Linked DNA regions of Coturnix japonica. The protein of the gene in region 2 binds, or shares a complex with, the protein of the main gene of each other region. Links are inferred from orthologs where the notes say so. Each region holds a gene or a part of one and is shown on either strand. Other genes may lie near its edges. The genes, in order: CNOT6L, CNOT9 and CNOT6.

The links.
Region 1: CNOT9 (region 2) and CNOT6L share a complex: the UniProt entries of both Homo sapiens proteins name them as parts of the CCR4-NOT complex. The link is inferred for Coturnix japonica from reciprocal best matches to the Homo sapiens genes CNOT9 and CNOT6L.
Region 3: CNOT9 (region 2) and CNOT6 share a complex: the UniProt entries of both Homo sapiens proteins name them as parts of the CCR4-NOT complex. The link is inferred for Coturnix japonica from reciprocal best matches to the Homo sapiens genes CNOT9 and CNOT6.

Annotation. Positions count from the first base shown.
Region 1 is NC_029519.1:30,849,231-30,853,335, forward strand, and holds the start of CNOT6L (CCR4-NOT transcription complex subunit 6-like), read left to right. Parts: upstream 1-1,261; 5' UTR 1,262-1,330; intron 1,331-1,579; coding exon of another isoform or gene 1,580-2,069; exon of another isoform or gene 2,070-2,084; intron 2,085-3,358; exon of another isoform or gene 3,359-3,506; intron 3,507-3,927; exon of another isoform or gene 3,928-4,105. Other genes in the region: MRPL1 (39S ribosomal protein L1, mitochondrial), read right to left, coding at 1,580-2,069. UniProt on the Homo sapiens protein: Has 3'-5' poly(A) exoribonuclease activity for synthetic poly(A) RNA substrate.
Region 2 is NC_029522.1:24,240,942-24,245,148, forward strand, and holds the start of CNOT9 (CCR4-NOT transcription complex subunit 9), read left to right. Parts: upstream 1-1,378; 5' UTR 1,379-1,487; coding exon 1,488-1,511; intron 1,512-3,113; coding exon 3,114-3,293; intron 3,294-4,207. Other genes in the region: USP37 (ubiquitin carboxyl-terminal hydrolase 37), read right to left, coding at 816-971. UniProt on the Homo sapiens protein: Component of the CCR4-NOT complex which is one of the major cellular mRNA deadenylases and is linked to various cellular processes including bulk mRNA degradation, miRNA-mediated repression, translational repression during translational initiation and general transcription regulation.
Region 3 is NC_029528.1:4,242,846-4,246,447, forward strand, and holds part of CNOT6 (CCR4-NOT transcription complex subunit 6), read left to right. Parts: intron 1-44; coding exon 45-149; intron 150-234; coding exon 235-303; intron 304-1,423; coding exon 1,424-1,581; intron 1,582-2,119; coding exon 2,120-2,274; intron 2,275-2,939; coding exon 2,940-3,094; intron 3,095-3,551; coding exon 3,552-3,602. UniProt on the Homo sapiens protein: Poly(A) nuclease with 3'-5' RNase activity.

The DNA.
Region 1 (4,105 bases), on a different chromosome or scaffold from region 2:
CCTGCCAGCAGTGACCCTGGGCAGCCACTTGCAGAACCTGGTTTCTCAGTTACGCTCCCTTTGGAGAAGGGAGGGAAACAATACCTGGGGTGAGGGTGGCGAGGCCCTGGCCTGTAATGGGAGCCGGGAGATGTACAGAATGATTAACAGAGGCAACGGGAGAAGAGAAGGTACAGTCCCTTCAGTGAGCCATTGGGTGGGTATTTTTCAGGAGAGGAAATGACCAGACCAGCCAAAGGCGCAGCTGTCATAGAAGTCACAGTGCCCATGCCTTTCTGAGGCAGCACACGACTTTTCTCCTATAAAAACGCATCCCAGTAAAGTTATTCTTGAAGGTTTTTTTCTTGCTTTCTCTCTCCCTCTGCCCTCCTCTGTACATGTGTGCACCCGCTCACAACCACTCCTTTACACTGGACACAGCTGGCTGAACTGTGCTCTACCATGGAGGCTCCTTCTGTGCTCCTCATTCACATACGACTATTTTGGTCCCACAGGTGAACCCACAAAGACCTGCACTTTTCTCTGCCCTAGTTTTATTATCATAATTTATCTTCCCCCTTTAAAATCCACTCTCCATCTTTCCCTCATTCGACACCCACACATTTTCTTGTAGAACTTAGGCATGGTCCCCACAGGAAGGCCGCCTCCACCTCTGGTGTGCCCAGCTGGAGAACACTGTGCTCCAAAGCTGGCACACACACCATTTACCTGCTCTACCTGCCCTTTGACACGGCTCTGCAGACACAGACAGCGCGGTGCCCAAAGGGTTTGGCAGCAGGGGGACACCTCCTGTGGAGACAGAGGTGATGCCAGACGAGCCCTACGCCCCCAGAGGCTCAGGCTGAGCGCGGGGCCCCGTCACCCCGACACCTGAGTCACTTCCTCAGTCTGTCCGCGACTGCCAGAGGCCTTTCGCGGGGCGACCTGCTCCTCACGTACGCCCTGTCAGACGGCGCTCTCCGTAATTAACGACAATTACCCACGGAGGGCTGTTTTCCCTCCCTACGATCGGGTCCCCACTGGCGTCCCCAGGAGCAGCCGCCGCCCCGCAGGGCCCAACGGGGGCTCCCCGCCACCTCCTCGGGGTCCCGGCGCCTCCCCGGGGTCCCCGCGCCGCCCGCCCCGCTCCCGCCGCCTCCTCCTCCCGTCCCCACCTCCCGCTCCCCCGCCCTCCGCGCCGCCCGAGCCCCGGCCCGCTCCTCCCCGCCTCCGCAGCCGCCGCCGCCGCCGCCCCGTTCCCCGTCCCCGGCGGGCCGCCGCCCGCATGTCGTTGCTGCCCGCCGCCCCGCCGCCGCCGCCCCGCCGCCAGCCGCCGCCGCGCCGGATGCAGGTGAGCTCCGCGGCCCGCCGGGGCCTGGCGGGGAGCGGGACCGCCATGTCGCGGCCTGCGCCGCCCGCCGGCACCGGGGCCAGTGTCCGGCCGGGCGGCTGAGGGACGGCGGGCCCGCCCGGGAGAGGAGGGAGAGCGCTCGGAGGGAATGCGGGGCGGCGGGGGGACCGCGCGTTATCCCCGGTTCGGGGCCCGGGCGCGGCCGTGCGGGATACCCGGGCCCAACGCCGAGCCGGGCCGGGCGCTCACCTGGGCGCCGGGCGGCGGGGAGCGTTGCTTCCCTCCAGGGGGGTTCACTCGCCGCGGCCCCGCGCTCGGCTGCTGGCGGAGGCGAGGACGGGCACGAACGTCCGAGTTTGCACCGGCAATTCGGGGCTTGCTTCGGAAACTTCTCTGTGGAACATGGCGGAGCACGTCCCGCGGTGTGGCGGCCCCGCCGTGTTCTGTCTGATCGCCCAAAAACCTCGGCCACGTTCCGTCTGACCTCCCGGGACCTCGGGACGAGCAGCTTCGTCTGCCCGCTGCTGAAACTTGGAGACTGAGTGTCCACTTTTAGGAGCTGCAAGTTGTGTTGATTGGTCTCTGCTGGCACAGGAGGCCCGTGGCCACATGCGGTCTGTGGGGTGGGCAGTTTGCCCCCGCTGTGCCCAGCACAGCTCTGAGAGGCAGCTGCCCCCCACCCTGAGGCAGCATGGAGGGGAGCAGCTCGCCTTGAGTTGCTCCTGGCTTGTGTAGACATGGCCAATAATGAAAGTAATGATAACGCAGCTGTTTTTAGCATTTGCAGATGTTTTTACCCCTGTGCAAGTTTTTTAACAAAGAAATACAAAGCGTGTTGTGTCCAGTAAGAGTGTCGTCACTGTGACGAAAGCCCAGGAATTCCTAGAAGCAGCACCCATGTTTGGAGGGCTTTGGTAGGGCTGGAGTGTGGCCTTTGCAAACACAGCACCACTAATGTTTTCTCCCTGTATCTCTCCCAAAATGTGATGTGATGGTGAACCTTGTACTGAGAGTACTGTCCGTCCACACGGCAGCTCGCTGGGCATGGCCATGCACTGGCGGCACTCCAGACTGACAGAGGTAGCGTAGCCCCTTCTGTTCCCACTGTGCCCCGCTGCAGGCCGGTGTGTGCCTTATCAGAGCTCTCCAAACTGAGAGCTGTGGTACTGCAAATGCCTCAAGCTCTCTGCGTCCTGCCGAGGGTAATGGGATGTTGCTACTTGGTTGTGTCATTTTGCTCCAGAGTAAATGAGTGGCGTGTGCTGGTGATGTCATACTGCTCCATACCTTGCCATATCTGTGCATCACCGTATGTGTGGCCCACAGTACTGTGTTGATTCATCCGAACTGAACTTATGTTCCAATATCTACCCAGGTGTGAAATCTTTTTGCCTGCTGTCTTCAGAACTGGTTGTGGGTTGATGGAAGTCTCGTGACCGCCAGGTCATGCTTAGAGGTGGGAATTCTGCAGCGCTGTGCCGCTCGCTAAGCAAACCCCATTTGACACTATCAGTTATGTTCTTTTCTCACTATGAAAAGTGAGGAGTTGTAGCATGAAGAGTGCTGAAGTACAACAGAACAAACATTATTCAGTTTTGCCTTTTCTTCCTGCAAGGGCTGTGAATTTCACTGAAGTATAAAGTATGATGTAAGTGGATGATAGGTACTGCCACATCCTTGGGCTGCTGTTAGGTTTCCTTTCCCCTCAGAAACTGAGATGCTGATGTGCCTGTAACAAAGGAGTAGGAGGACTCGTTGTCAGACTGCTGGAAAAAGTTTGTTTGGCAGCACTATGAAAAACACCAAACTTTGCAGATTCATTTTGGTCCGCTGAGCTTCACACCAGGCCTATATGGCAAACTTCTGCTGGCACAGCTCTGTGTGCGAACGCTGTGGCGAGGTGTGACCCTTGAGTGACATAGCTGTGCCAGCAGAAGTCCCTGCTGTAGATGCAGTTATCTGCAGAAGTGCGTTTTTACTGATAGGGCTTGTTTTCGTTTTGAAGAGTGTTTTTCCCTGTAGCGGCGGTGGTGTGGTTGCCAGCAAAGCTCAGCACCTTGAGGGTGGGAGGACTTGGTGTGTCTGTCTCTGTGGGGACGCCACCAGCCTCTGCTCCTCTCCCTGCCCCGGGTATCAGGAGCTCGGGAACATCTGCAGTGGCCATTCTGTTGCTGAAGTAAGTGGTGTTATGACTGCTATTTGTTTATTTTTCCTTGCAAGGATCTTTGTAAAGCTTCGTTTCGGGCGATAAGCTGGTGTTGTTTTTTTTTTTTTTTATTGTTTGGATTCTGGCTGTTTTTCCTTACTGATCTTGCTTTTATAAAAAGCAGGGCAGGCTTTGCCCTGAGCTTGCCAAGCACAGCAATATTCAGCTCTCACACCAGTCCTACAGAAATCAGCCAGGACACGATCCCAACGCGTCTGTGGACTGTGGAGGTAAAATAAAAGGGAGCCATTGGAGAAGAGTTAATGAATTTGCACACCAGGGTGTGTCTTTACCTAATTTAAACCTGAAGGATTGCAAAGAACATCTTACATTGAGGTGGGTCTCTGCAGCTGCTGTCTTCCTTGTTCAGAGTCACTGTGCAAAATGGGGAGGTGCTTTTTCTTTTTTCTGAGAACATTTTACTTTCAGTGATAGTGTCGGTAACATGCACAGCTCTAGAGCAGATTTCCTGTAACAGCACAGAACTGGTGCTTAGATCAGCCTTGTGGAGACTTTTAGGTTGCTGAAGTTTAGAGGGCGGGGGATACATCCAAACAAATGGTTTGCTT
Region 2 (4,207 bases):
TGGTCCTGCAGGAGGGTAGTTTTAAAGAGCTCCTTCTCTCCATTAATTCTGCTGCACCACTGTATTACGACATGAACCAACTGCTGCTTCCTGCCAGGTCACTCACAAGGAGGTGGAGGTGGAAAAGGAACCATACGTGTGTCAATACAAAAAGTCATTTTCAACTCCTGCGTCCTTTTGCACTTAGTTATTCATCTCTGTCACTTCTGTGGCCTTTCCTATGAACTACACGCTGCTACACAATGACATCCTTGCAAGTTGAAACCACAGCCAAACCTCGCACTGCAGAGCAAGAGGCTGCCCATCAGATTGGAGCCTCCTCCTAAAGTGGCCCAACCTGAGTATTGCCACACAGCTGATCCAAATAGTGATGGCCAATCCAAGTGAAAACCCTTCTCCAAGCTCCCACAGAGCGCCAGAGCCAGAAGAGAGGCAGACACAAAGCCTATCCCTGCAGGCATAGACAGCTGCTGGGCAGGCTCCCACAGAACCACAGCTCCAGGCGTTAAACTACCAACAGCAAAACTCAACCTGGTAGAACAGAGCATGAACGAGAACCTTGGGAAGGCACATAAGGAATAAAGGAGCACAGCACCATGGTCAAACAGTGGGATTCCACCTCCAGGCTGCACACAAAGAGAGAACATCCCAAAACAAGACTTGAGCCACGGCTCCACACCTGCAGCTCGGCCCTTCTGATCCAGCAGATGCCATAACACCAGAACTGAGTAACTCAATGCTACACCGAGGGATGGCCCTACTGAAGGAGGCAGTATGAGCAGTGACAGCCGGTAACCGGGCACGGCAGCACCCACCTGGAAGGTCTTTGGGATGCCCCTCATGCCGTAGTGCACCACCAGGTTGACTTTGTTATCCTTCTCCACCACCTCGAAGCAGCCCTCCTTCCACCTGGTCACTCCGGTCTGCATGCAGTACAGCCTCACGGGGCCGTGTACTTTCAGCAGGGCCATGGCGGGGCCTCACCGACACAACCTGCGGGGATCACAACACGTGTGGAGCGGGACCGCCACGGACCGGCACTCACCGACACGCCGAGCCGCGGCCTTCCCGGGAGTAAAGCGGGGAGAAGCTGAGTGGGGTCGGTGAAGGGGGAGGCGGCCCCTGTGGACGCGGCCCCGTCACGGTGTGTCGGTGCGAGGCCCCGCCGTGAGGGGCCGCGTTGGCTCCCGGTACCTGCGGGGCGCGGCGCCGGATGGCGGGAACCGGCTCCCCGCGCGACGCACGGCACGCAGGCGCGCGCGCGCGCCGCTGACGTCAGCACGGCGGCGCCATTCCCGGCACGCCCCGCAACTGCGCATGCTCAGAAGCGGTGCTTTGCCTTTCCCCCCTCCCACCGGCGCGCATGCGCAGTTAGAGAGCGGCCTGCTGCCCGCTGCGGGTTGTGCGCATGCGCAGCTCGCCCTCCTGCAGGCCGCGTCCCCTTCCCGGTGTGTCTCTATGGCGGCGGGGGCCTGAGCGGCGGCACCATGCACAGCCTGGGCACGGCAGCGGTGAGACGGCACCGGGACGGGGATCGGCCTCTAGGGGGGGTAACGGGGCTCTAAGGGCTACTTCGGCGGCCCAGCTCCTCGTTCGGGTCTCAGGAGACGGCGGGAGGGCGAGGGGGGGGGAGGCCGCCTCAGAAGTTGTGTGTAGGCCTTGGGCTTCCACACAGCTTTAGGGTGAGCAACAAGGAAAGAGGAAATGAGGAGGAAATGCGGCTTTTGGTTTTAGCTAGAATGGTGACTGAGCATAGTAGAGCCTTTGGGCTGGGGAGATAGCAGGACACGGGGAAATGGTTTTAAGTTGAAAGAGGGAAGATTTAGGTTGGATGTTAGGGGGAAGTTCTTCACTAGGAGAGTGGTTAGGGCCTGGAACAGGCTGCCCAGGGAGGTTGTGGATGCCCCGTCCTTGGAGGTGTTCAAGGCCAGGTTGGACGGGGCCATGGGCAACCTGATCTATGGGGTCTCTATGGGGGTCTATGGGGGTCTATGGGGTCTCTATGGGGGTCTATGGGGTCTCCTGGGCAACCTGATCTAGTAAATGTGTATGTTTGGTGGCCCTGCCAGGCAGGGGGGTTGGAACTACATGATCCTTGAGGTCCCTTCCAACCCGGGTCATTCTGTGATTCTGTGAGATAAGACTGATACTGGACATTGTAAGCTTAATAGCTTGGAAAATCTGCTTAGTGCTCCCTAGGGATCGTAGACACACCGTTGTGCTTTTAAAGGGTCGATATATTTAAGCTTGCAGGAATTGAAACTTACAGAGAGTCTGGCAAAATAGATGGAAGCTTTAGATAACATGGCTATAACAACGTTAGTGCTGCACTGCCATCCCAAATGGAAACAAATGAGCTCAGTCTGTTCGCCCTCTCTCTCCCAGCTGTGGTATCGGTGTTACCATTGGGATTGTGTTCCTTGTACAGCAGATTGTTAGGGTTATTATTTCTGTGTGAGGTTCTAGGGGGGGGAAATGAAGTAAAATAGAGTAGATGAGGTAAAAAAAGGGGATAGGAGGAAAGGTGAGCAGGTAGAAGGTATTAGAGGCCTGAGATGTCGGGATTGGTAACAGCATATCAGCTTATATTGTAGCCTAAATGGCAACTTCAATCCTCTATATATCCCACAGGATCATAAGCATAATGTGCGGGTAGCTGAGCAGGGAAACTGCTGTAGGAATAGGAGAGAGAAGGAAGGCTCTGGGGGGGTGTCCCAAAGACATGGTCTCCCTCCAGCAGCAATGGGAACTTCATTTGGGTTCCTGTTGCTGTCAGTTCCTGAGCTCTGTTGTGTTCACTAAGGAGCATTGCTGGCACTGTGGTACATGAAGCATTTGCTTTAATGCATGTTTGCCTCCAAATAGTTGGTCTGTATCACCACGCTGTCTGTGTAGGCCAGAAAGTGAAACATCTGTCTTTCAGCTAGGCGAAGGACTAAGCTTAATCTAAAGGATCATCTATATCCACAGTTTCTTAATGCAGCTTGAGTCCCTCCCTCCCCCAGCCACTTCCTCAAGACCTTTTTATTTCTTTACCTTTGAGGCTGTGAGAAGCGTTTGGGTGGGACTTTGCTGTAACAGCTGTGACTGAAGTTTTCCTGTCTCCCTCCCAGCCTGTGCCTACAGCACTGGCTCAGGTGGACCGTGAGAAGATCTACCAGTGGATCAACGAGCTGTCCAGCCCTGAGACGAGGGAGAATGCACTGCTGGAGCTGAGCAAGAAGCGCGAGTCTGTGCCTGACCTTGCCCCCATGCTGTGGCACTCATTTGGCACCATTGCAGCACTCCTTCAGGTGGGTAGGGCAGAGCTCAGCTTTGTTTCGTGGCACAGTGCTGCCACACTGCACAGCTCTGTGTGGCCACGGGGTGGATCTGGGGAGGCGCTGATAGTCCCTTCGTGCAATTACTGTGAGTATGATGGCTGCTGGATCACATGGTGAGAGGAACCACACAAGGAGGGCACTTCTAATGTTTTCCATTAGTCATTTCTTGCAAGGTAATGTCCTTAGAGACCAGGCCATAAGATTGTTGATGAGATGGCTTAGACAGGTGAAAGGGGAGTAGCCGAGTTCTTCTGTGTATGAACTTCTTGTAGATAATATTCCTTTTCTATTTGTAGTGGCATAGCAGAACCACAATAGTTTTACTCCTAACATCTCTGCTTTGTGCTGTGGAGTTTTTTTTCTTTATTTTCCTATGAGTCTGAGTACTACTTGATCAAAAGGTTGCCATTACAGAGCCCTCATGGGGGCAGTATGGAAGTACTTGTAGCTCACTGCTCCAGAGTACCTTGCAAAGAAAACTAAGTGCATTTCTGGTCAAAGCGAGTGGCTCAGCTGAGCTCTGGGTAAACTACAGCTGATGTCTGCCCACCTCTGCTGGATCTTGTCATTTCATTTGAAGAAGAAAGGAAAATGGTGCAGGATAGGCAATGGCAGACTGTGAAAACAGGGTGGCCCTGAAACAAGTGAAGAAAATGCTAAGGGAGCCATAGCTGGAAACAGACAGTTTTCTGAATTGGATTTCTCACCTTCAGCTGCTTCCCCTTCATTGAGTTAGAGGAGTACCAGCAGCTATGGTATGAATGAAGTGCGTGTGCTCTGCCTCTAGGCACAGGAGCAGCATTCCTCTTTGCTCCAAGAATTCAAAACAAAGTCATCCCCACATCCGCAAAGAGCCAGGAAGTCAAATAAGCCCTTTTTGGAGA
Region 3 (3,602 bases), on a different chromosome or scaffold from region 2:
GGTTCTGTATACTTCATTCAGCGTTTCTGTAAATGTGTTTGCAGGAAATCCACTCACGCAGGACATTCTGAACCTTTATCAGGAACCAGACGGGACGCGAAGGCTACTGAACTATTTGCTTGATAATTTGGCAGGTACTGCAAAAAGAAGTAAGTGATCATTCTTAAAAGATTTATTCCTGCTGTGTAAGATAAATGTGATTATCACTTTTGTCTCTTTAAAATATTTCCATAGTTTCAACAGAACAGCCACCTCCAAGGTCTTGGATTATGTTACAAGAACCAGACCGTACCAGGCCAACAGGTACTGTAGTGCTTCAAGAAAGCTTTATTCATTTTATATCAAATGTTGATCTCTGTTATCTGCTACTAAAATCTTAATGATGCTTCAATTAACCAGTCATCTGCCCAGTGCTGATAGACAGTTGTAGTAGCCCTGTCCCATCTAGAACCTCTGCTTCAGACTCTAAGTTCCTTTTAATTAGCATACTCTTCACAGAAACAGAAATGACTGTCCAAAGTGAGTCAGTTAGTTGAATTGTAACAGGCTTAATTGAACATTTGTCGAAGAATAAAAAATTGAAGACCATGATCTTAATTCCTCAGAAAGGTAAAGATTTTTCTTTCAAGTTCCCTGTGTGTCATCTGACTCCACGCTTTCTTGTTGTTTGATCTCAGGCTCTGTTCAATTGTTTACTAATTTCTTCTGCATGAGTTGTTTAAAATAAAGCCTTTTCTGTTTATTACCATGCAACTTTTTCTGTTTAACTAAACCAAATATCCGTGCCGTTTGGTTACCTGCAATCTTGCCCCAGGCTGTCTCATTATATATCCCTCCTGTTCCAAATTAATGCTGAGAAGTAGGTTTCTCTTTCCTTTACTTGTAAACTGTAAGGTTTTTGAGATGGGGGAAAAAAATTGTGATTTTATTTTACCTATATTTGTATTTTGTGGGAAGGATTCCTTGCCCTAAGTGTGAATCTGTGAAATTATGTGGATCTGTTTCAGCTGGTGGTACAAATTAGGATAGCTAATGAACTTATCCTAAGGTATGTAAAGTTCTCAAATAGATTATTTAAAATCAGTTTGAAACTCCTTGTTCAAGGCTTTCCCCAGTTATGCACTACTTAATGTGAAGCATATTTTTCAACTGTATATTGCATTAACCATATAAAGAGTTCTTTTGATTTTTGGTTTCTGTGTACATGTTAGTAAATGGCTGCCAGAAATCCCAACCTGGAGGTAATTTGTCCTCCTGGAAGGACTGAAAGATGCTTTTATAGCATAGGTGCAGGTGCTGTGTTTTGGTTGAAGCAAATGAAACATGGATTCATAGGTCCAGAGAAGACAAAGGAGAAGAAGATAATTGTATGTTTTTTTGTTGTTACTATAATCAGTATGTAAGTGACGTTATTGTTCTGCAGCCTTGTTCTCTGTCATGTGTTACAACGTGCTGTGTGATAAATACGCTACCCGGCAGTTGTATGGCTACTGTCCATCTTGGGCGCTGAACTGGGAGTACAGAAAAAAAGCCATTATGCAGGAAATCCTGAGCTGCAATGCTGACATCATAAGTCTTCAGGTAAAAGATATACTGTTATTTCTTTTCCCCTTCCAATTCTCACGTGCTGGTTTCTCTGTATTAAATATATTTGCTGTAACTGGTATGTTTTTCAAAACCCTCTGAAAACAAACAAAGAAAAAAAAGAAGTGGTGTTCAGAGCAATATTTGCTGCTTGACATCAAAAGAATGCTTTTCAGCCCACACAGTTGGGATGTGAACCAGCAGCTGCTGATCAAAGAAATGTATGTGGGGGTGTCTGTGTGTGTGCATGTGAGGGTATAATTGACACATTTTCAAATATAAGGCTTAGGATAATCATAACTCTGGGGATTACAGAAGTTCATTTATATTTTCTTCTTAAAACACGAATATTGCTCTCAAATTTGTATTCTCCAGTGTACTTAATTCTTAGGAATTCTTATGTTTTTTTTTTTTTTGTTTCTTTTTCCTTAATTCTAATTTGAAACTGATTTACACTTCTGAAGAGTCTAAATAATATCAGTCTTGTGTGGTTTGGTAATAGTAATTCACTGTGTGCTGTGTTCTGACTTTATAGGAGGTTGAAACTGAGCAGTACTACAGTTTTTTCCTGGTAGAACTGAAAGAACGTGGCTATAATGGATTCTTCAGTCCAAAATCTAGAGCTAGGACAATGTCCGAACAGGAAAGAAAACATGTCGATGGTTGTGCAATATTTTTCAAAACAGAGAAGTAAGTGATTTGGTTTATTAAGCTTTCCATTGCCTCTTGTTCTTTTCTACACGATTTCTTGGGTCATTCAAAAGTCAAAATAGTTTGCCACCGCTCACCCTTTCTTGTAGCTGTTTGGTTTTAACAAGTCAAGAGTTCAGTAAATTATGCTTCAAATGCTGTCATTACACATTAAAGATGTTTGCGTTTTAATTTTTATTTAAAAAATATATTAAATATCTCAAAAATGAATTCTCAAAAAAGAAATCTCAAAGGCTGAATTCAGACTACAAGTGGCGGTCATGGCTTTCCTTCTGTCCTTCTCCTTCGATTCCTTTTGTGTACACAGCGATGCCACAAGCAATTATCTAGTTGCTATTAAACCAGCAAGTTTGGACTAGAATCTTATGCAGAATGAAAATGAAGCACTCTTTCAGTAGTTGCTCCTTCTTTTTAAAAAATAAATGTTTTCATTAAAATCAGCTTAATATCTTTAAACAAACAAAGAAACAACTAGGAAAACAGTATCCTTTTGATTTCAGCAAATGATTTTTATGAAATTATAGGATGGGCTGAGACTTTCTCACTGTAAATGTGTTTGAGCTTAATTAAGAGGTGAATTTGTCTGTAACATTTCCTTTGGTGGCTGTCTACTGAAGGAAGTGTATACAATGTTCCTCTTTCAGATTTACTTTGGTTCAGAAACATACTGTTGAGTTCAATCAACTGGCTATGGCAAACTCGGAAGGCTCAGAAGCTATGCTGAACAGAGTTATGACAAAAGATAACATTGGAGTTGCTGTGTTATTAGAACTGCGAAAAGAACTGATAGAAATGTCATGTAAGTGCTGTTTAATATTTGATTGTGCGGTATTTTATCAATTGAAACAAACCAACCCTATCATCGTTTAAACCATACATCTTTTCCTTAGACATACAGTGTTCAAACTTACATTCACCCGTTAAATCCAGTTTCCTTTTTACTGCAACTTTGTGCTGGAAAACAAACAATGAAAGCACTGCAGTTTGAGGGATTCTGCTTGGAGATGTGTAAAGGTATCAGAGAACGAGTTGATATTGGATTATTCCTAATGCTTAGAATTGACTAAAGCACTGAGCACTCAGTAGTTACAAGAGGAGTTGTGTAGCCCTCTTAAGCTAAATGTTAGTAATCCTTTTCAAACAGCTGGTATTTTTTTCCCACCCTCAAACATCTTGTTTAAAATCAAACACAGGTAAATATGATGGTATTTTCTGTTGCTGGCTATGCAAGGTAAATATTTAATTTTAAATTTTAGCTGGAAAGCCGCATCTTGGGATGGAAAAGCAGCTTGTTCTTGTTGCTAATG